Linked DNA regions of Macaca fascicularis. The protein of the gene in region 1 binds, or shares a complex with, the protein of each later gene. Links are inferred from orthologs where the notes say so. Each region holds a gene or a part of one and is shown in the gene's direction. Other genes may lie near its edges.

Region 1 (3,500 bases):
CTGTCCTAGTCTGGGCTGTGTGCTTGCTGTGTCCAGCAGGGTCAGGTGGAGTTGGGGATGGTCCCTGGCCTGGTGGTCCCAAGACTCTAGGATTGGGGGCTGCAGTGGGAATGGGAGGCGGTTTGATGGTAGGCCTAGGTCTTCAGGGGACTTGGTGACTCCCTTGAGCCAAACTGGGTAGGTTTCTAGAGTTGGGTCCAAGCCCTTCTTCCTCCGCCAGGTGAGCTCCACCTGACACCTTTACATGGCATCCTGCAGCTGCGGCCCAGCTTCTCCTACCTGGATAAGGCTGACGCCAAGCACCGGGAGAGGGAGGCAGCCAACGAGGGTGAGCCCGGGATCCTCAGCCCTGCTGCCTGTCCGCCTTCATCCTAGTGGGATGGCTTGGTCCTGGCAAGAGGGATGCGATGATAGGATGTTTAGCAGGATCCTTGGTCTCTACCTACTAGATGCCAGAAGCACCCACCCCACAGTCATGACAATCAAAAATGTCACATTGCCCAGTATCCCCGGGGTAAAGGGGCAAAACTATCCCCAACTGAGAACCACTGGCTTAGGCAGCTCCCTCTGCGAGGAGAATTCCCGGCACCCTGGCCTCCTGAGGCTTCCCTGGTGGGTGGGGTTGAGAGAAGGGAGGTGGAGGCTCCCCAGGACTGCAGTCAGTGGCTTGTCTCTCTTGCAGCAGGGGACTCTTCACAGGATGAGGCGGAAGACGATGTTAAGCAGATCACGGTGAGCCCTGGCCCCTGGAGGAGGAGGGTTCTGCCTGGGCAGCAGCAGGACCACAGACCCAAGGGGTAGTGGGTCTTCGCAGAAAGCAGGTGGAACAAACAGGGTCCGTGCTTTTGAGCCTTCTTGCTGGGCTACCTGGAGGGAACAACCTGACTTGTCCCAACTGTACACAAGACGGAAGCCCTGGCTGGATCCAGGAGATGGGTGCCTGGGGCTTGGCTGGAATCACCTGGGAGCAGGAAGCTGGGGCCAGGGGCCCCGAGAACCCGCAGACCAGCTCTGCCATGAAACCCGTATCTTAACAGCACCAAAGTCAATTAACTGTGATTCTATCCTCTTTCTGGGGCACAGATGAATAGTTTCTGTTTTAATAGTTACTCCTGAATTTTAAAGATTTTTCAAAGAATCTTAACCTTCCATTTATGGTTTGTAAAGTTTTCCCTATTTAAGCGTATTTAGATTAAAATGAGTAGTACCAAAACAAAACTGCTACACGTAGAATGATGATACACAGGTATGGCTAGAGAGTGGTGAGTGTTTGGACATCCTTGAGGACTGGGGAACACCGGCATACCGGACATGGAGGTGGCGCAGGGAGCTCATCCTCTTCTCTCCGTAGCTTATTAGGACCTTAGAAACTCCCGTCTGCTCTGGGGGACTTAGAAAAGGCGTCCTGGGCCTGTGTGCTTTAAGGACTCTGCCCGCTCTGATACCTGGGACTCTGTAATCCCCCTCAAGCCTCTGGGCTGGGCAGGCACGAGCAAGTATAAGCTGCTCCCTGGTGTGTGCAGGCAGCTCTGTGAGTGACACGGTTGGAACGGAATTTAAACGACCTGTGCTAGGAAAGGAAGGGAGAGTGGAAAACCCCGATACGGAGTTCTCTGGTCTCCTGGCAGGGGCTGAGATGGCAGCCCAGCAAGGGTCACAGGCTCGAGGGTATGACCTCTTCCGCTTCCCGCTGCAGGTGCGGTTCTCCCGGCCCGAGTCAGAGCAGGCCCGCCAGCGCCGTGTGCAGTCCTACGAGTTCCTGCAGAAGAAGCATGCGGAGGAGCCCTGGGTCCATCTGCATTACTATGGCCTGAGGGTGAGTGAGGGTGAGCCGGGCTTCGTGGGGCCCGGGGGGAAATACCCCGGTGCCTGGAAGCGCCATGGTGTGGCCTCCATGTCTCACCTTGAACTTAAGTCAGATTCATGAGTCATAGCCACAGAGAGAGAATCGAGTCCTGTGGACAGTTGACACTTCACTGTAGCCGAGCCACTTAGCGTGGGCCCCAGGGGAGCCAGAGAAAAAGATGTGAGTCCTTGGTTCCCTGGGTGGGGTTTGGCCCCTGGGCCTGGGCATCTTGGTGGGCTTGCAGTGGGGCTGGTGCCTGGTGACATATTTTCGCTGTAGCCCAGGCCCTAACCGCAGGCCAGACGCGGTCTCCGGTTCTGCCCTAGAGAGTCGGCCGTGTGCTGTTGCCCCAGAGTTCCCAGCATACCTGCCGGGGGGGATTTGTTTTACTATACTCGGTTTTCATCTGGTACGCTGACTTTCTTTACTTTTATTTTTATTTATTTATTTATTTATTGAGACAGTCTCATTCTGTCACCCAGGCTGGAGTGCAGTGGCTCAATCTCGGCTCACTGCAACCTCCACCTCCCGGGTTCAAGTGATTCTTCTGCCTCATCCTCCCAGGTAGCTGGGACTACAGGCACGTGCTAATTTTTTTTGTTTTTGTTTTTTTAGTAGAGACAGGGTTTTGCCATGTTGGCCAGGCTGGTCTTGAACTCCTGACTTCAAGTGATCTGCCCGCCTCAGGCTCCCTAAGTGTTGGGATTGCAGGCGTGAGCCATGACCACTTGGCCCTGGTCCTTTAGAACCTAACCCTTGAAACTATTACTGAGTGAGGGAAGCTTCCAAAGACACCATGGGCCAGGGCTCCCAATATTTTCTGGGGTAAGGAACAACTCCTGATTTCTCTGGGACCTTCTTGGAAGAGATTTGTGTTGACAGACCCTTAGACTCGGGGTCGAACTTCTGGACGCTGCTGTTTCTTCCTGTGTGACCTTGGGCATGTTACCTAACCTCTCTGAGCCTCAGTTTTCTTATTTATAAAATGAGAGTAGTAATAATAGTACCTACCTTGCCAAGTTATTTTGAAGATGAGATAGGTTAGTATATTTACAGTCAGTGGAACAGAGTCCACCTCATCCTAGATGCTCAGTGAATGTTAGCCATCATTTTGTCATTGCTGGTGGTGTGCCTGTGTTATAGACAAGGCATTGAGGCTTGAGGGCTGGGGCTGGGCTGGTCATAAGGCCAGGAAGATGAGTGGCTAAGGCCATGTCAGAGGCCTTGGGGGCTCTGCTCAGGAGGTTGGATGTGGTCCTGTGGCTGGCCATGGAGTGGAAGACAGGGGAGGCCTTGGGGGAGAGGGCCAGGCCAGGGCCATCAGCTGAGGCTCCTCTCACACCCTGCCCTCCTCCAACAGGACAGTCGCTCTGAGCATGAGCGCCAGTACCTGCTGTGCTCCGGCTCGAGCGGAGTGGAGAACACGGAGCTCGTCAAGTCACCCAGGTGGGATGGGCTGGGCCAGCATGCAAGCTGGATGCCCACCCAGGGTCCCTGAGGGTCCTTGGTGTGGATCCTCCCCGAGGACTGTGGCCCCTCCTCTAGCATGAGGGTGGAGCCCATGGTCCCCTGGAGAAGGCCAGGAGGGTGGGCCTGGAAAGAGATGGTCCCCTTTTCTGTAGGGGCTCAGGGCTGCTAGGGGAAGGCAGGGGTG
Region 2 (4,028 bases), on another chromosome or scaffold:
TTTTTTTGTTTGTTTTTGGTTTTTTTTTTGTTTTTTTTTTTTTGTATTTTTAGTATAGACGGGGTTTCACCGTGCTAGCCAGGATGGTCTCGATTTCCTTACCTCGTGATCCGCCCGCCTCGGCTTCCCAAAGTGCTGGGATTACAGGCGTGAGCCACCGTGCCCGGCCGCCTGCTGCAGTTCTAATAATGCTGATCTGACATCTCTGCAGTTTGAGCTTTGTCACAGACTGTATTTTCAAAAGTGGGGTAACTAATTTAAGGGGTGAACTTAATGCCTCGTTGGATAGTTCCAGATCGAGGGCCAAGAATATAAACTGCAGATACTGACAGCACAGCAATAGCTCCTACAGGAGTGTAGCTGAACTTGAGACTTGCCTATAGTCGCATTTCCATTCAAGTGAAAGGCAGATAAAATAAAAATAGTTGAAAAATTATTTCTAAATAAAAAATATGTAGGAGAGGAGGTAATTCGCGAGCATCAACTAGCAGCTGCCCTTACGAAGCTGGGGTGGCCAGTGGGCCCCACGCAAAGGGAATCAAGAAAAAGGCGGATCCGCCAGGCCCAAATGGCAACGTGCAGCAATCCACAGGATCCCCAGACCCCTCAACTCTCCCAAAGTGGACCGTCCCCTCGCAACCCGGATCCGGAACCCCGTTTGGTTGTCCCCGCCCGTCAGGGGCTGCCAAGGACACCTGCATCCTTTCGGCTGGAGTAAGGAAAGCTCTTCCCCTCCTCTAGCCGCCCTCCTCTTCCTCTAACCGGGGGACCCGTGATCGGGACCCCTAATCCATCTCTGCAGTTCCCAACCCAGTCGCCGGCCTCTCACCGCCTCTTGCCTCCTCCTTCGCCGCCGCTCGGGTTACCACAGACGCTGCGAGCCGTGCCCCGCCCACTTGGAGCTGGGCAGATGATTGGCGGCAAGGCAGCTTCTTAGCAACTAGCCCCGCCCCTGCCGCCTCGCCGGGAGCCTGGAACCCGCCTTGAGCTCCTTTCCCTGGGCTTTCCCATAGGCATCTAAGAATATTCCTTTACAGAGTTGCAAAGTGCTAAAAGTTGGCTTCCCAACTCAGAATGAAGGAACCAAGCTTGTGCGTCCGATGGGCATTGACATTCTGAAAAACAAGGATAAGAAGCTGTAGCGGCGCCTGTAAGTGGACCGGAGCAGGCGCGACTTGGCCACCTCCCGCCGAAAAGCAAGGAAGGACCGCTGCGACACGAGGAAAAAAGCCCCTCGTTCTCCGCTAAGCGCTATCCTTCACTGGTTCCCAGGGTTCTCCCGCTTGCTACCCGGCCGCTCCGTGCATCTTTTCCCCAGGCGTCAGGAACTGCTCCCTCATGGCGGAGGTGAAGGTGAAGGTGCAGCCGCCCGACGCGGATCCGGTCGAAATAGAAAACAGGTAAACCAAACAGGGAAACCAGTGAGACTCCGGCTTGGGACTCCATCAGGCGGCCAGCATTTGGGCAGCCGGACCCCTTCACCCGGATCCCTCGGGAGTGGCCGGATCGGGTTGGGTGAGCACGCGGGAAAACGATTGCGAGGTTCTGGATCCACTTCTAACCTCCCATCCTGGGAGAGCAGAACTCAAGAAGTTCAAAATGGGCTTGACAGCTTGCAACTTTGTGTAGCTGACTCGCTTTGCCCTGATACTTTTGGGGAAGTTGTGATGATGCGCTGCCTTCCTACTTTGACGTGATCATTGCTTTGAGAGGAGACCCTCAGCTTTCCTTCCCTTTAGAACACTTGTGAATGCTTGTTCTGATCCAGGATCGCTCTTGTCACGAAGGGAACGTCTATGTCAAAACGTTTAGGCGGAGTTAGGGCGCAGTTGGTGATTAGGAAGCAACATTAAGTCAGGTAGTTTCAGTGCAGTATTGAACTCAAGACTTTTAGGATACCCAAAGCCTCTGCCAGTTTTATTTTTATTTGTTTATTTGTTTGTTTGTTTTTGAGACGGAGTCTCGCTCTGTTTCCAGGCTGGAGTGCAGTGGCAGGATCTCGGCTCACTGTAAGCTCCGCCTCCCTGCAACGTCCGCCTCCTGGGTTCAAGCGATTCCCCTGCCTCAGCCTCCCGAGTAGCTGGGACTACAGGCGCGCACCACCACGCCCAGCTAATTTTTTGTAGTTTAGTAGAGACGGTGTTTCACCATGTTGTCCAGGATGGTCTCGATCTCCTGACCTCGTGATCCGCCCGCCTTGGCCTTCCAAAGTGCTGGGATTACAGGCGTGAGCCACCACCGCCTTTTATATTTTTTACCGAGGCACTGCCACTCTTAGATTATCACGTACTTTTAAAAGACGTAACTTTCTCAAACTGTTAGGAATAATAATTTGTTGATGTTGACTAGGTGAAGATTTTGACCTACTTTGTTTGGTAGATATAATTCCCAAAACAGGCCCCATTTTGGTGAATTATCATAAATTTTGGCTTCCCACCAGAAACGTCTGCATTTGCCTCCTGCTTGCAGATTTATGGCTTAACTTTGTCATACTTATTACACCTGAGAAAATTGAAGTCTCAGCTTTAATATTATTTCTGTGATTTCATTAGACTTTTGCTCTAATTTAAAGTTATTAGTGAGGAAAAGAAATATTCTTCTTAAATAACAATAATACTGTAATCATGTATTTAGAAATCATCTTCTTCAGTGTCTAAAATGCTTTGATCCAAAACCATCGCAGAAACCCAGATTGTCTTCCAAATGTGAAAAAGGCACAATTTCAAACTATTTTACTTGTGTTTTTACCCCTACTGTCTCTTGAAACAGGTAACCATGAAGGATAACATTAATACCCTTGTTTCTAGGATTATAGAATTATGTCACCAGTTCCCTCATGGAATCACAGACCAAGTAATTCAGAATGAAATGCCTCATATAGAGGCCCAGCAGCGGGCAGTAGCCATCAATAGGTTGTTGTCTATGGTAAGGTGAATCTAACTATTTTGCATAATTACTGATACGCTGATTATCATTGGTTTTTATTATGTAGTTGTGATGGTTAATTTCATGTCAACTTGACTAAGATACAGGATTCCTAGATATCTAGTTAAACATTTTATTGGAGTGTCTGTGAGGGTGTTTCTGGAAGAGGTTAGCATTTTGAATTGGTGAACCCAGTAAAGTAGATGTGGGTCCAGTGTGGGTGAGCATCATCCAATCCATTCAGGGCCTAAATAGAACAAAGTGGCAGAAGAAGATTGAATTCACTCTTTGAATTCAAAGAGTGAATTCAATCTTGATCTGGGCTATGGATCTTGTGCCCTCAGCACTCCTGGTTCTCAGACCTTCAGACTTGGACTGGCATCTACACCCTGAGCTCTCTGCTCTCAGCCCTTTGATCTCCAACACTAACTTTCCTGGGTCTCCAGCTAGCAGAGGGCAGATTATGGGACTCCTCAGCCTCCATAATCACAGAGCAAATACCTTCTGAGGAATCTTTCAAGAGAGAGATGTATCCTATTGGTTCTGTTTCTCTGGAGAACCCTAATACAGCAGTCATAAAACGAGAAAGTATGTTAGGTTTGACTGATAAGACTCTAAACCAGGAAATACCTCAAACTGCCTGAATTGAAAAAAGAAACAATTATGCATTATAAGACAAATGAAATAAATGTATTATGTTATAACTGTTGTATTATTAATTGCCACTGCCGTACATAGGTCTAGTCTGTTCTCACCTTCTGTTCACTTCCTACTACTGGTGTTGGACCATTTCCTATAAAATATACCACCCCCTTCCAACCCCCGATTTTTCTATGAGTTGTCACAGAGCCCAGTCATCAGGGTTTCATTCTCCACATTGTCACTGAGCATTTCAGGAGCAAGAATGAGTCCAGTTGAATGAAGAATGCTGGGCCTTGGGGAGGAAGTGCAGCCTTAGGCCCCGGTGATATCGCAATGAAATATATCATTGAAGCTATTCTCTAACTGTCCAGAAACAAACAAACAAGCAAGACTGTCTAAAAATCCCCTAGTGGTGCCGGATGCTCTAAATGTCTCCTTACTTTCCCTCATCATTAAAACAT
Region 3 (4,116 bases), on another chromosome or scaffold:
AAAAAAAGCACGTCGAATGTACCAGATATTCACTACAGCATTATTTAAAACAGGGAAAAAAGAAACAATCAGGGAAATACTTAAATCATGATACAGCCACTGGAGAACTATGCAGTCTTTGATGCCGTAACAGAGAAATGTTATTTGAAAAAGCAGGATACAGGCCAGGCGCAGTGGCTGACGCCTGTAACCCCAGCACATTGGGAGGCCGAGGCGGGTGGCATCACTCGAGCTCAGGAGTTCAAGACCAGTGTGAGCAACACAGTGAAATCCCGTCTCTACCAAAAATACAAAAAAAAAAAAAAAAGAAAAAAGAAAAAGAAAAAGAAAAAAGAAAAAAAAAATTAGCCGGGCGTGGTGGCATGTATTTAGAGTCCCAGCTACTTGGGAGGCTGAGGTGGGAGCATGGCTTGAGGCTGGGAGGCAGAGGTTGCAGTATGCAGAAACCTCGCCTCAAAAAAAGAAAAGAAAAAGGATACGAAATTGTGATACAACTCTGTGAAGACTACTAGACACATTACAAAATTTTTAATAGTAGTACTCTACGTGGCATTCTGGTAGAAACGATTTCCTTTCCTCAAACTCCCCGTAATAATGTTTTTATACGGTCTGGGGGGATGGGAGATAACATTAAACGACACTTTTTATATCACAAACGCTGGAGTCAATAAAAGTTCTTTAAATTCCTCCAGCAGTAGAGCAAACTTGGTATTCCGATTCTGTCCAGGCTTTGACCAAGAGCGCACCCGAGGGCCACCGCCTTCGTGATCCCAAGCGGGTGTGACTGGGCACCAGTTGGTCCACTGCGGCTGTTCCAACGCTGCCCTCACAGCCTCACCCCAGGACTCCACCAGGAGCACAGGGAAGGGGTCCCCGAGAGTGGGCGAGGTCGCTGCCCGGAGGTAGTGACCACTCCAAGGTCACCATGGAGAACCCGCAGACAGGGCTCGGCACGGCCCAAGACTCCCCGACTCTAAGTCCAGGTCTCGCTCTCTGTGCCGCGCCCCTCGTCCCATCCCGAGCAGCTACCCCCAAGCTCCCAGGGGCTCCGCCGAGGCGAAGCCTCACATTGCGGCTTGGCGGCCGACAAGACCCGCGACCCTGATCTCGGCACCTCCACGCCACCGCCCGGGGGCCAAGACCCCCGAGCACCGCCACATAGCGTAGCCCAGACCGGTTCCCTCATCCTTTTTCGCCCTCTCAACCCAGCTTTTCCCGACTCCGGGAAGAACCGGGAAGAGAAGGCGGAGGGGAGCGAAGCGCCGCCTGATAAATACTGTGGCCCAGTCCCGCCCCCGAAACGTCACATCCGGCCCGTGCCAAGATGGCAGCGCCCAGGCGGTGCCACGCAGACTTCCGCCCGGTGCGGAGACCTAAAGCTGGCAGCGGGTCGCGTCGCAGGTGAAGTGGTGACGCGCGGTGTGGAGCCGCGGCCCGGGTGCGTCCCTGCCTGGTTCCTGGGCGGGGTTCCTGGAGAGAGGGCGTGTCGCGAGCCAAAGGCTCTCACCTGGGTGGTCCCGGGAATCTCGCCACGTGGGAGGGGAGGAGCTGAGAGGCCACTGGAGGGACGCACCGACTGGGGGACCGGAAAGCAAGGGGGTTGGGTTCCGCCAGGGTCCGCGTGTCAGTCCACTCTGGTAATCTCGTCCCCCCTTCTCTCCCAGGCAACATGTCGGAAGGAAACGCCGCCGGCGAGCCCAGCACTCCGGGAGGGCCCCGACCCCTCCTGACTGGGGCCCGGGGGCTCATCGGGCGGCGGCCGGCGCCTCCCCTCACCCCCGGCCGCCTTCCCTCCATCCGTTCCAGGGACCTCACCCTCGGGGGAGTCAAGAAGGTATCCAACGGCGCGTTTCTAAAGAAACTCAACTACCTTGAATTCCAAGCCCCGGCATTCAACTGATGTTTGTGTAGGGCCTACTATGTGTCAGGAGTGTCGTTGGGCCTCAAGCCTACCCCTCTTTAAATTCTAGGGAGCCTGTCCTATCTTCAAATCTAGGTACTGAGTACAAAATGTTGAAATGAGTCCCAGAGGTGGTTGAAAGACAGAGAATCCTAATAAGTTAAAGTCGTTCAAAAGTAATTTGAACAGTGTTTATTTACTCTTATTGTGTGTTTGGACATTTTTAAGAAACCCATGAAAGCCAGGCAGGCATAAACTTCACAGTCTTAGAGCGTTCAGAATTCACCATCTCAGTGTGCAAACTTGTTATCTAGAGTATCATGAATCCTAGGCATGGCATTCGAGGCTCTGTGGGCTGTCCCATGTGTATATGACTGTGGATGTCAAGAGTAGCCCAGAAAGGGGTGGTGTCAGGATGACAGAAGAATAAAGCAGGTTTTTGGGTTTTTTTTTTGAGACGAAGTCTCGCCCTAGTCCCCCAAACTGGAGTGTAATGGCATGATCTTGGCTCACTGCAACCTCTGCCTCCCGGGTTTGAGTGATTCTCCTGCCTCAGCCTCCTGAGTAGCTGGGATTACAGGTGCCCGCCACCATGTCCAGCTGATTTTTGTATTTTTAGTAGACACAAGGTTTCACCATGTTGGCCAGGCTGTTCTTGAACCCCTGACCTTGTGATCCACCCACCTCGGCCTCCCAAAGTGCTGGGATTACAGGCGTGAGCCACCGCTCCCGGCCAAATAAAGCAGTTTTTTTTGTTTGTTTGTTTTGTTTTTAACAGAGTCTCTTTCTGTCGCCCAGGCTGTAGCACAGAGGCACCATCTCAGCTCACTGCAACCTCCACCTCCTGGGGTTCAAGCGATTCTCCTCCCTCAGCCTCCCGAGTAGCTGGGATTACAGAGGCCTGCCACCGCACCTGGCTAATTTTTGTAGTTTTTAGTAGAGACGGGGTTTCACCATCTTGGCCAGGCTGATCTTGAACTCCTGACCTCATGATCCACCTGCCTTGGCCTCCCAAAGTGCTGCGATTACAGGCGTGAGCCACCACGCCTGGACATAAAGCAGTCTTTAGAAACCTAACTTTGCCTTGGAAAATATGGAAAAACACTGCCAACAGTGATTGAGAGTATTGGCAGATCTGTGGCCTTCCCTACTTAGGCCTTGCTGCTAGAGATGTTCCCCCATGATACTGACTGGTCTCTATAGCAGTTTGAAGATAAGAGGTGAGACCAGAGAAATTCCTTTGCTTTTAGAAGTCCCAGAGGACCTTCTTTCAGGATCTTCTTTCCTAAGGCTGCTGGTTAAAAATGGTTTTTGGTGCCCCTTTCTTCTATGCATAACTCCACTGCCACCACACCATGACGTTCCTCCTTTTCAGGCACACGTGTATCTAGAAAACTGACAGCACTGTGGAATGTGCCAAAGAGAGTCATGGTGGCCGTGGTCTGTAGAAGATGCCCGTTGGGAGTTTTTATTTTCCTCTGTACTTTGGGATCAGGACCTAACACATCAGTGACTCCTGTATTTTGCTTTCAGAAAACCTTCACCCCAAATATCATCAGTCGGAAGATCAAGGAAGAGTAAGTAGCTAGTCCTTCTGAATACTTGCCCCTTATTTACTTGCTCTGAATTTGGGGCTTTGGGGAGAAATAAGTAGGTTTGTGGCTCCAAAATTTAAATTTATATCTTTAGTTCTTTTCACTAGTGATTTTCAACCCTGGCTCCTAGGTGATTCTAATGTTTAAGCTTTAAAAAAAAAAAATACTGGTGTCTAGGGTTCCATCTCTAGAAATTGTGATTTAACTTGTTGGCAGTAGAATGGAGTGATTCTCTTTGATGGCCCGAGTTGAGAGCCAATAGTTTAAACAAAGATGTATCACGCTTTCCCTGAAGTTCCTTTGCATTTCTGCCTTCCTGCTTTCAGTCCCAATGCAAACAAAAATCTACATTTTTGGACAAGAACGTAAAGTAAAGCAAACTGAAAAAATCCTGCCTCATCAAGGAAGTGAGAAAAGTGCTAGAATTAGGATTGGATTCTGCTTCTCATGGTGTAATTATTGGCTCAAACTCTCCGCTGTCTTGGAGTGAAGTGGTATGGGAGAGTAAGGCCAGTTTTTGGAGACACAGTGAGTGAGTGGTTTCCCTTAATCCATTCTTTTTTCCAGGCCCAAGGAAGAAGTAACTGTCAAGAAGGAGAAGCGTGAAAGGGACAGAGACCG
Region 4 (3,500 bases), on another chromosome or scaffold:
CCTCAGTACCTACCACTGAGAATTCAGACCCTGGGCCACCACCACCTGCCCCCACACTTGTCATCAATGAAAAGGACATGTACCTGGTTCCTAAGCTGAGCTTGATAGGTAAGGAATTTTAACCCCTGGAACTGTGACTTGCCTTAATTGTGGATTCTTCTTGATTGATTATCAAATGTATGAATCAGGTGAACATTTACCTTGGTAAATCAGACTGATTTACCAATCAGTCTGAACATTTGCTATGTGTCAAACATCGTGGTGGATAACAATGAAAAAATCATGGTCTCTGTCATGGGGCTTTAGGAGACATACATTAATCAGAAAATCACATCGATATATCATTAAACGGTGATAAGTACTATGAAGGAAATATTCCTATGAAGGAACTGTCATAGTATTATGACACATACATTAATCAGAAAATCACATCGATATATAATTAAACCGTGATAAGTACCATGAAGGTAAAGTATGAGGTGTTATGAAAATATATAATGGAGGCCGGGCGCGGTGGCTCAAGCCTGTAATCCCAGCACTTTGGGAGGCCGAGACGGGTGGATCACGAGGTCAGGAGATCCAGACCATCCTGGGTAACACGGTGAAACCCCGTCTCTACTAAAAAATACAAAAATCTAGCTGGGCGAGGTGGCAGGCGCCTGTAGTCCCAGCTACTTGGGAGGCTGAGGCAGGAGAATGGCATAAACCCGGGAGGCGGAGCTTGCAGTGAGCTGAGATGCGGCCACTGCACTCCAGCCTGGGCAACAGAGTGAGACTCCATCTAAAAAAGAAAAAGAAAATATATAATGGAGACTTTGGGAGACTGAGGCAGGCGAATTGCATAAGGCCAGGAGTTCCAGACCAGCCTGGGCAACATGGTGAAACCCCATCTCTACTAAAATTACAAAAATTAGCCAGGTATGGTGGTGTACACCTGTAATCCCAGCTACTCGGGAGGCTGGGGCAGGAGAATTGCTTGAACCCAGGAGACAGAGGTTGCAGTGAGCCAAGACTGCGCCACTGCACGCCAGCCTGGGCGACAGAGTGAGACCGTCTCAGAAAAAAAGAAGAAAATATATAATGAGGGACGGGATTCATCTGGGAGTTTAGGCCTCATGTTTCTTTGAGAAGGTGACATTTGAGCTAAGATTTAAAGTGGAAGCTAACAGTGAGGTAACAGAGGAAAAGCATTTTTGGCAAAGGGAATAGTATGTAGTAAAAAAAAAAAAAAACCAGCATTTGTAGACCAGGCACGGTGGCTCATGCCTGTAATCCGAGCACTTTGGGAGGCCAGGGCGGGCGGGTCACAAGGTCAGGAGATCAAGACCATCCTGGCTAACACGTTGAAACCCTGTCTCTAAAAAAAAAAAAAATACAAAAATTAGCCGGGCATGGTGGCGGGTGCTGTAGTCCCAGCTACTCTGGAGGCTGAGGCAGGAGAATGGCATGAACCCGGGAGGCAGAGCTTGCAGTGAGCCAAGATCTGAGATCATGCCATTGCACTCCAGCTCTGTCACACTCCAGCCTGGGTAACAGAGCAAGACTCCATCTCAAAAAAAAGCATTTGAGGAAATGAGAGAGTGTCAGTATAGCTAAAGCATTGTAAGCAAAGCAAAGAGGCATGAGATAAGGTTAGAGACATAGATAGGCAGGGGTCTGATATCAGAAGCTAATCAGGATCGACCTGCTTAGTACTTGGATGGGAAACAGGCAGGGACTAAATCAAGTAAGACCTTATAGAGCATTTGTTCTTTATGCTAAGAGCAAAGGAAAACCACTAAAGGATTTTTTAGGAAATGACATGATCTAATTTATACTTTTAAAAGATTTTTTGTCTACAGAAAGGATGGGAGAATGGGGCAAAGTAAAAGTTGACAGACTGGTGGAAAATGAAACAGAGGGTGAAGGAGACAAGTATTAAGAATGTCATTTCTGTGTCTGACTTGCACATGTGGAAGAATGGTGATATCATTGGCCATGAAAGACAGTATTGGAGGAGAAAGACTATAAGCTTCTTTTTGAACATGTTGAGTTTCAGATCATTTCATCCTTTACTTGAATTTCTTATAGCTCTTCAGCCCCCTAAGCAACTCTGATCTAGAGGCAGCTATAGATGTCTTTGGAATGAAAGACACCTGCTCTCATGTTTGGTCATTTGCTGTCATACAGTCATACAGTCTAAGTGTTCAATTATTTGTTTGGCAGGAAAAGGTAAAAGGCGCAGATCATCTGATGAAGATGCTGCTGGGGAACCCAAGGCCAAGAGACCAAAACATACTACAGATAACAAGGAGGTAATGGGGCTTCTTGATTAGAAGTCCTCACCCTGAAGCAGGCCAGAAAGAGCACTCAGATAACAAGCCCCAAGAGAGCTTAAAGCTTCCTGAGCTAAGAAGCAGTAGGATTATGAACCTCATTAAATATTAGAAATAGAATGAACCATTCTATTCATTCACAAAGAATGAATCATTACTGTCTCCCTTCTGAGCCTTAATTCTTTCATTGAACAGAGATAACAGGCTATGTAAAAAGGGGCCTAGAAAAAGTTTAGATTGCTCAATATGGCAAGAACCTAAAAACAGTGGTGAAAAATGGGTCTAAAAACTATACATAGGCCTGAACTTATATTCAGTGCCTTCTTAGCATGCCTATAAAGATGTCAGTAAGCATCTCAAACTTAGTGTGGCCAAAACAGAATAATTGATTCCTCCTCTTAGTAAAAGACACTACCACCTAGGCCAGCCACCTAGGACACCACCATTTCTGCTTAGGCCAAAATCCTTGGAACTTTCTAATCTCACAGTAAAACATATCAGCCCAGTTTCCAAAATTACCTCAAATCCAACCATTTCTCATCTTTTAACTGCCGTCTCTCATCAACTCTTTCCTAACCCTTTCGTTAATGGTCTCCCTAGCTGCATTCTTACCTACTTAGTAGCCAAAATGACTTTCTAAGTTCAAAACAAAACAATACATCCACTGATTAGACTCCTTTAATAGCTTTCCTTTACTCTTAGAAGAAATCCAAGATACGGGCTAGGAAGCCTTACATGATCTAGGTCTTCGTATGATCTGTTGGAGACAGGCTTTTCAACCTCACCTCTGACCCATCTCCGTCTTGCTCACTGTGTTCCCCCTACTGACTTTCTATCTCTTAAACATGTCAAACTCTTTCTAGTCTTTAGACTTTGGCCCTTATCATGCCTCTGGCTTCAAATGTTTGTCCCCAGATCTTCATGTAGTGGTCTCTGTTTTTATCATTTCTGTCTTAAATGCTCTTTTCATAGACTTCAAGCACCATTGTCTTCTCCTACACTGGTCCCTACCACATTTCTCATTTCATATACTTCACAGCATTTATATTTATAACTGGAATTATTTATTATTTGTGTACATGTTTGTCTAAGAGGTGTGGACTTTATCCTGAAGACAAGGGAGAGCCATTGATGGATTTTAAGCAGAGAAATGAAGTAACTGGATTTATATGTTAGAAAGATTAT
Region 5 (3,500 bases), on another chromosome or scaffold:
AGGCCTTTGGGCCTGCTGGTTCCCTACCATCTCTTCTCTTTGCATGGATAGCTCCCTGATTTTATCCCAATCTCTACTCAAATGTGACTTCCCCAAGAGGCCACGCGTGCTCACCCTGTGTAGACTGCACCTCCATCCTCCCTGCACTGTCAGTCACTTTGCCTTTACCCACCTTCGTTTATTTTTATGTCATTTATCACTATGTGAAATTGTATGTCACCTCATTTGTTTACTAATTTGTTGTGTGTTTCTCTCCTAGAATGTAAGTTCCCTGTGGGCAGGGACTTTGACTTGTTTATCATGGTATCTTCTATAGTCTAACCATGTTGGGTACTCAATAAGTAGTTGCAGCATGAATGTATATATTCCTAATCAAATTTTGAGAATGTACCTTATCTTTATTCTCTGAAACCAGAAATGTCTTTACTATGTACCCTGGAGATCCCCTTGTTAATGAATATATTTGTGTAAATATATACACACATACAAATGCATATTTGTGTATATGTATATGTGTGTATAATTTTAAAAACTTGAAATGCAGCTTCAAACTCTATCTTGCCATTTATTCATTCTATGGGCTTATAAATTATTCACTTCTCAATTTCTTCACTGTAAAAGGAGAAATATTGGTAGTCCTTTCAATGAGATAATGGATATTGGATATTGAATATATCATAGTAACCATATACTAAATTATAGCTGCTGCTTTTTTATTTATTTTTTCCCAATAACACCACCACTAGTTGAGGTTAATAAGGACCTAAAGCAGCTGCCCTCATTTGGGTACCTTAGTTTTTCTTTTTCTTTTTCTTTTTTTTTTTGGTATGTTAATTTTTTTTTTTTTTTTTTTTTTGGTGAGACGGACTCTCGCTCTGTCACCCAGGCTGGAGTGCAGTGGCACGATCTTGGCTCACTGCAAGCTTCGCCTCCTGGGTTCACGCCATTCTCCTGCCTCAGCCTCCCGAGTAGCTGGGATTACAGGTGTCCACCACCACACCTGGCTAATTTTTTTTTCTTTGTATTTTTAGTAGAGACGGGGTTTCACCGTGTTAGCCAGGATGGTCTCGATCTCCTGACCTTGTGATCCGCCTCCTCGGCCTCCCAAAGTGCTGGGATTACAGGCGTGAGCCACCGCGCCTGGCCTGGTATCTTAATCCTTAAAGTAGATAATCACATAGGTCAACAGACTGTATGACAAAATGATTATTGGTGTAGTTTTCAGGGCCAATAGGAAAATTATGCGTCTTTTTTACCTCTAATATGAGAGCAAAGTAGGAAATGGGTTAACAGGTTAAATAGACTACAGAAGTTCATCTTTTAAGTTGATTGTAAAACTTAGTGCCTGTAAAACACAGTATTTCAATAAAACTGCTCTTTTCTACAATACAGATAAAAGGGATATTAGAATACATAATTGATTTGAAAAAAACCCTTTGTGTCTTAATTTAAACAGGATACAGATTATAAACCAGTGCCACTGAAAACAGGAGAAGGTGAAGAATATATGCTGGCTTTGAAACAGGAGTTGAGAGAAACAATGAAAAGAATGCCTTATTTTATTGAAACACCTGAAGAAAGACAAGGTACCGTATTGGAGTCTTTGATTATGTGTCTTAATGTGTACAGATGAAACAGTGTTTAAGCACAAGATATATAATCATTGAATGTTGATTGATTCTATTCAATAAAAAATTATCAACCACTTTGAAAAAGCATATTTATGTTGCTTTAACAGAAAAAATACTTTAAACTTTGATATTTTATTTTTAGAAATAGCTTTCACAATAATTTTATATGTTCAGTGAAAATTATGAAAAACAGGAAAATTTTGAAAAGTAAAAATTACCCATGCTTATGTCTAGAGAACCACTATTAATATTTTGTTATATAGTCCAGATTTTTTCTTATGCATGCATATTCTCTTTACAAAATTAGATTCATATTACTTTGTATCTTTTTTCAATCAGTAGCGTATTAGCATTTTCACATATCCTTATTATTCTTGGCAAACATGACTTTTAATGACTGGTAGTCCACTCTGTGGATATAATATTAATTGTAACTAATTTCCTGCTTTTTAAAGATTATTTCCAGTTTTTTGCTTGTATATATAATGCTGTGATTATTATTATACATAAACCTTTATGCATGTCTCCAATTATTTAATATTTAGGTTAAAAAAATTTTTAAGACTTGATTTTGTTTGGTTTTTCATTCAGGTATTTGATATGATGTAAAATATGTGTTCATTAGTGCTGCTTAGTGAAGAAAGGGAACATTATAGTTGGAGAGGGCTCAACAGTCTCAGACTAGAAGTGGGAAGTGGTTTTATAGGAAAGGAAACGATTCCTGCTTAGCTATTTAGCACAGCAGTACTATATTGATTTTTCACTTTCTGCCCTTGATTGTTGAAATTAGAGAGACTGATACCATCTTTGAGTTCTCAAAACAACATCATTAAAACATGAGAAATTAATAGTGTCATCTCATTCTATTAGTATTAAAAATACATTCCATTTTTCCTCTCTCTAGAATAGTTTGAATTGGCTGAGTCAAAAAAGGAAGCCTTGTGTAATGATCTTAGCATGTGCTTATAATTATAAGAAGCATTTTAGACAAATTCTTTTAATTCTCAAAACATAGCTGCTTTGAGTTATATAATGGTTTGATAAGAGATATTTTATCTCAAAAATACTTAATTGTTTTTGGTTTTTTTTGTAATAGAATGGAGTCTCACTCTTCTCACCCAGGCTGGAGTGCAGTGGTGCAATCTCGACTCACTGCAACCTCTGCCTCCTGGGTTCAAGTGATTCTGACATCTCAGCCTCCTGAGTAGCTGGAATTATAGACGCGAAATACCGTGCCCAGCTAATTTTGATATTTTTAATAGAGACGTTTCACCATGTTGGCCAGGCTGGTCTGGAACTCCTGACCTCAAGTAGTCTGCCCGCATCAGCCACCCAAAGTGCTGGGATTACAGACAGACGTGAGCCACCGCGCCTAGCCTAATACTGAAATTTTTAACTTCCATGAATATGTTGTATGCTTTCATCTGTTTGAGTTCTAAAATAAAACTTTTCATTTTAAAGATTTCAAAAAGACCAAATGAACTAATCAGTATTCATTCTTACTAGAAAAAATAGTAACGCAGGGTATACTTTAGTGCTTTTAAAATTGATCTTTTCTCTATGGTACAGATTTACTTAGCTGAATGTGGTTGTTATTAAAACACATGTCTAATTTAAAAGTACATCAAATTAGACCAGGCACAGTGGCTTACTCTTGTAATCCTAGCACATTGGGAGGCTGAGGCAGGCGCATCACCTGAGGTCAGGAGTTTGAGACCAACCTGGCCAACATGGGGAAACCCTGTCTCTATTAAAAATACAAAGATTAGCCAGGCGTGGTGGCCCGTGCCTGTAATTCCAGCTTCTCAGGAAGCTGAGGCAGGAGAATCGTTTGAACCGGGGAGGTGGAGGTTGCAGTGAGCTGGGATT
Region 6 (3,948 bases), about 21 Mb from region 1:
GTTGCAGTGAGCCAAGATCGCACCACTACACTCCAGCCTGGCGACAAATCAAGACTCAGTCTCAAATAAATAAAAAGTATCGTGCCAAAGCATATTGACGCTTGAGGCAAATGGAACTAAGTTTTTTCGTTTATCGTAGGGTTTTTTTTTTTTTTTTTTTTTTTTTTGCATCACCTTTGACTTTTAAAGCTATTACAGGCCGAGTGGGTGGCTCACACCTATAATCCCAGCTTTTTGGGAGGCTGAGGTAGGAGAATCGCCTGAGCCCAGGAGTTTGACACCAGCCTGGGCAACATAGTGGGACTCCCTCTGTACAAAAAATTTAAAAATTAGCCGGGTGTGGTGGCGCGCATCTGTGGTCCCAATTACTCCGGAGGCTGAGGTGGGAGGATGGCTTGAGCTCAGGAGGTGCAGGCTGCAGTGAGCCAAGATCGCTCCACTGCACTCCAGCCTGGGCGACAGAGCAAGACCCTGTCCCCCCAGCCCCCTAAATACAATTACATTAAAATTTCATTTAATGTCACTCACTAATGAGGGTTTTGGTTCCTCTTTAAACTTCGCGCCGCAGGCGAGTGTGCCTGGCCAAGGTAAAGACCCTTGTTTACGCCCAGAGGCGCCTTCCTCAGCCTTGGGCCGCAGCCTCCCACCAGCACCTTCAGAGGCTGCGCGCGCCCGGACGCCCGGCCCCCGGGGAACGACTCCCGCCCCCCTGGCCCCCGCCAGCACACACCTGGATCGGCAGATCGCAGAGCAGCGGGTCCTGCACCACCATAGCCAGACCCTCCTGGAACACGTCCATGGCCTCGGAGTGCGGCAGCGCCTCTTCTTCGTCCTCATCTTCCTCTTGCGCCTCGGACCCACCCGCGGCCTCCATCTCCTCCAGGGCAGCACCTCTCAGCCGGTCTCTGCCGGCACTTCCAGTACGCACTAGGGAGGCCAAGCGCGCACGCGCAGGAACTGCGGCCGGTCCCAGCGAGGCCGCCCAGCCATTGGTGCGCCGAGGGGTGGGGCGGCTGCAGTGACCAATGACAAGTGCGAGACAGCCAGCAGCAGGGCTGGGAGCGCAGAATCGCCCTGTCTATTGGTTGGTGGGCGGGGCGAGGCGGCCGCCAGGACCAATGTAAGCTCGAGGCGGGCCGCGCGTCGGCGCTGAGCGGCAGTGTGAGCTGCCGGTGGTTGGCGCCTGCGGAGTTCGAGACCATGCTGCTATTCTGCCCCGGCTGCGGGAACGGGCTGATCGTGGAGGAGGGACAACGCTGCCACCGCTTCGCCTGCAACACGTGCCCCTACGTGCACAACATCACCCGCAAGGTGGGACCCGAAGGCCGGCGCTGGGCCGCGGGCGCCTCTCGCAGGCCTTCCCCTTCCTCCGACTGCGGCGCCATCGCCGCCAGCCCCGGCGTCTGCCTCTGTCCGCTCTTTCTCGCTCCCCCTTCCGGTCTGCAGCAGATCTGTGGGCTCTTTCTGTGGGCTCCAGCACACTCAGAAAGCCCCACCGTTTCCCGCCTCCTTGGGTTCCTGCTCCCACGCTTGCGCCCTCCTCTGCGTTCACAGCAGCGGCCACGGCGATTCCCTTAAAGCTGAGGCACGTAGGTCCGTGCTGTGCGCAGAAACCTTCGGCCGTTCCCCAGCTCGTGCAGACGAAAAGCTGGAATTCTTCCAGGGCCTACCATGTTCAGACACTGACCCCCTCCCCGACTTGCTTCTCCGATTTCAAGTCCTATTGCCCTTTGCCCCATCAACACCAGCCTCCTGGACGATCTCTCATTGTGCACATGGCGCTCGCAGGGCCTTTGCACTTACTGTTACTAACTTCGCTCTTCCCCTAGATAGCCACCTTACTCATTGGTCTTGTCTTTACCGTATTTTAAATTGCAGCCCCTCCGTCCAATGTATCCTCCTTCCCTTTGTAATTGTTTCCACAGGGCTTGTTACCTTCGAATACATTACGTAATGTATCGTGTGCTTTGTTTATTAATAGTAGGACCTGGCCGGGCGCCGTGGCTCACGCCTCTAATCCCAGCACTTTCGGAGGCCAAGGCGGGTGTATCACTTGAGGTTAGGAGTTCGAGACCAGCCTGACTGACATGATGAAACCCCATCTCTACTAAAAATACAAAAATTAGCCGGGCATGGTGGCAGGCGCCTGTAATCCCAGCTATTCGGGAGACCGAGGCAGGAGAATGGCTTGAACTTGGGCGGCGGAGGTTTCAGTGAGCCAAGATCGCGCCACTGCACTCCAGCCTGGGCAACAAGAGTGAAACTCCGTTTCAAAAAAAAGAAAAAAAAAGTAGGACCTAAGGTCTAGGAGGGCAGAGGTTTTCCGTTTTGTTCCCTTCTATGTTATATTCTGAACAACTAAAATGAAACCTAGAATATAGTAGGTGTTCAGTAAGCAGATGATGCATGCTTTATTATAACTTGTTGTTTTCCTTTGATAATACATATTTTCTTTTTACTTTTTAGAATACTTTTACTTTTTTTTTTTTTTTTGAGACGGAGTCTCCCTCTGTCGCCCAGGCTGGAGTGCAGTGGCGCCATCTCGGTTCACTGCAAGCTTCGCCTCCCGTGTTCACGCCATTCTCCTGCCTCAGCCTCCCTAGTAGCTGGGACTATAGGCGCCCACCACCACGCCCGGCTAATTTTTAATATTTTTAGTAGAGACAGGGTTTCACCGTGTTAGCCAGGATGGTCTCAATCTCCTGACCTTGTGATCCGCCCGCCTCGGCCTCCCAAAGTGCTGGGATTACAGGTGTGAGCCACCACGCCTGGCCAATTTTTTTGTGTTTTTAGTGGACAGGCTTTCCCCGTGTATTAGCCAGGATGGTCTCGATCTCCTGACCTTGTGATCCGCCTGCCTTGGCCTCCCAAAGTGCTGGGATTACAGGCGTGAGCCACCGTGCCCAGCTTTTTTTTTTTTTTTTTGAGACACAGTCTGGCTTTGCTTCCCAGGCTGGAGTGCAATGGTGCAATCTCGGCTCACTGCCACCTCTGCCTCCCGGGTTCAAACAATTCTTCTGCCTTAGCTTCCTGAGTAGCTGGGATTACAGGCTCCTGCCACCACCCCCCAGCTAATTTTTGTATTTTTGGTAAAGACGGGGTTTCACCACGGTGACCAGGCTGGTCTCGAACTCCTGACCTCAGGTGATCCACTTGCCTTGGTCTCCCAAAGTGCTGGGATTACAGGCATGAGCCACGACGTCTGGCCAGAATACCTTTATTTTTAGAAGTTAGAATATGTTGGTGCTACCGCCGGGCGCGGTGGCTCACGCCTGTAATCCCAGCACTTTGGGAGGCCGAGGCGGGCGGATCACAAGGTCAGGAGATCGAGACCACGGTGAAACCCCGTCTCTACTAAAAATACAAAAAATTAGCCGGGCGCGGTGGCGGGCGCCTGTAGTCCCAGCTACTCAGGAGGCTGAGGCAGGAGAATGGCGTAAACCCAGGAGGCGGAGCTTGCAGTGAGCCGAGATCGCGCCACTGCACTCCAGCCTGGGCGACAGAGCGAGACTCCGTCTCAAAAAACAAAACAAAACAAAACAAAAAAAAGAATATGTTGGTGCTACCTCAGTCTTAATGTTTGCATGCTACTACATTTTGTACTGTGTTGTGGGAGTTTGGAGTTGGAAACTGTGGGAAGAGTGAACTCTTATATAATCCTGAAATTCGAGGTTTGGCAGCCCAGGTTTGTGCTATGCAGTTACCTGGAGTCTGAAGTGTTGTTTTTGTTAGGTAACAAATCGGAAGTACCCAAAACTGAAAGAAGTGGATGATGTGCTTGGTGGAGCAGCTGCCTGGGAGAATGTTGACTCTACTGCAGGTAAGAGGGAACACTGTTTCTGTTGCTAAACTGGATAATTATGAGGCTGTTGATGCCACTGCATGGCAGAGTCTGTGATGTCATATAAATGATGTAGGTTTCTAAAAATAGAAATGGTTTTTGAATAA

Evidence for each region.
Region 2: POLR3E (region 1) and POLR3F share a complex: the UniProt entries of both Homo sapiens proteins name them as parts of the RNA polymerase III complex. The link is inferred for Macaca fascicularis from reciprocal best matches to the Homo sapiens genes POLR3E and POLR3F.
Region 3: POLR3E (region 1) and POLR3D share a complex: the UniProt entries of both Homo sapiens proteins name them as parts of the RNA polymerase III complex. The link is inferred for Macaca fascicularis from reciprocal best matches to the Homo sapiens genes POLR3E and POLR3D.
Region 4: POLR3E (region 1) and POLR3C share a complex: the UniProt entries of both Homo sapiens proteins name them as parts of the RNA polymerase III complex. The link is inferred for Macaca fascicularis from reciprocal best matches to the Homo sapiens genes POLR3E and POLR3C.
Region 5: POLR3E (region 1) and POLR3G share a complex: the UniProt entries of both Homo sapiens proteins name them as parts of the RNA polymerase III complex. The link is inferred for Macaca fascicularis from reciprocal best matches to the Homo sapiens genes POLR3E and POLR3G.
Region 6: POLR3E (region 1) and POLR3K share a complex: the UniProt entries of both Homo sapiens proteins name them as parts of the RNA polymerase III complex. The link is inferred for Macaca fascicularis from reciprocal best matches to the Homo sapiens genes POLR3E and POLR3K.

The regions. Positions count from the first base shown.
Region 1 is NC_088394.1:21,302,143-21,305,642, forward strand, and holds part of POLR3E (DNA-directed RNA polymerase III subunit RPC5), read left to right. Parts: intron 1-220; coding exon 221-328; intron 329-682; coding exon 683-732; intron 733-1,696; coding exon 1,697-1,816; intron 1,817-3,206; coding exon 3,207-3,292; intron 3,293-3,500. UniProt on the Homo sapiens protein: DNA-dependent RNA polymerase catalyzes the transcription of DNA into RNA using the four ribonucleoside triphosphates as substrates.
Region 2 is NC_088384.1:68,818,215-68,822,242, reverse strand, and holds the start of POLR3F (DNA-directed RNA polymerase III subunit RPC6), read left to right. Parts: upstream 1-1,228; 5' UTR 1,229-1,338; coding exon 1,339-1,400; intron 1,401-2,807; coding exon 2,808-2,925; intron 2,926-4,028. UniProt on the Homo sapiens protein: DNA-dependent RNA polymerase catalyzes the transcription of DNA into RNA using the four ribonucleoside triphosphates as substrates.
Region 3 is NC_088382.1:25,316,044-25,320,159, forward strand, and holds the start of POLR3D (DNA-directed RNA polymerase III subunit RPC4), read left to right. Parts: upstream 1-1,316; 5' UTR 1,317-1,401; exon of another isoform or gene 1,402-1,438; intron 1,439-1,664; 5' UTR 1,665-1,669; coding exon 1,670-1,834; intron 1,835-3,433; coding exon 3,434-3,477; intron 3,478-4,062; coding exon 4,063-4,116. UniProt on the Homo sapiens protein: DNA-dependent RNA polymerase catalyzes the transcription of DNA into RNA using the four ribonucleoside triphosphates as substrates.
Region 4 is NC_088375.1:113,586,053-113,589,552, reverse strand, and holds part of POLR3C (DNA-directed RNA polymerase III subunit RPC3), read left to right. Parts: coding exon 1-108; intron 109-2,205; coding exon 2,206-2,294; intron 2,295-3,500. UniProt on the Homo sapiens protein: DNA-dependent RNA polymerase catalyzes the transcription of DNA into RNA using the four ribonucleoside triphosphates as substrates.
Region 5 is NC_088380.1:94,490,830-94,494,329, forward strand, and holds part of POLR3G (DNA-directed RNA polymerase III subunit RPC7), read left to right. Parts: intron 1-1,456; coding exon 1,457-1,586; intron 1,587-3,500. UniProt on the Homo sapiens protein: DNA-dependent RNA polymerase catalyzes the transcription of DNA into RNA using the four ribonucleoside triphosphates as substrates.
Region 6 is NC_088394.1:781,872-785,819, reverse strand, and holds the start of POLR3K (DNA-directed RNA polymerase III subunit RPC10), read left to right. Parts: upstream 1-1,148; 5' UTR 1,149-1,200; coding exon 1,201-1,311; intron 1,312-3,732; coding exon 3,733-3,820; intron 3,821-3,948. Other genes in the region: SNRNP25 (U11/U12 small nuclear ribonucleoprotein 25 kDa protein), read right to left, coding at 731-874. UniProt on the Homo sapiens protein: Core component of RNA polymerase III (Pol III) which synthesizes small non-coding RNAs using the four ribonucleoside triphosphates as substrates. Can mediate Pol I proofreading of the nascent RNA transcript.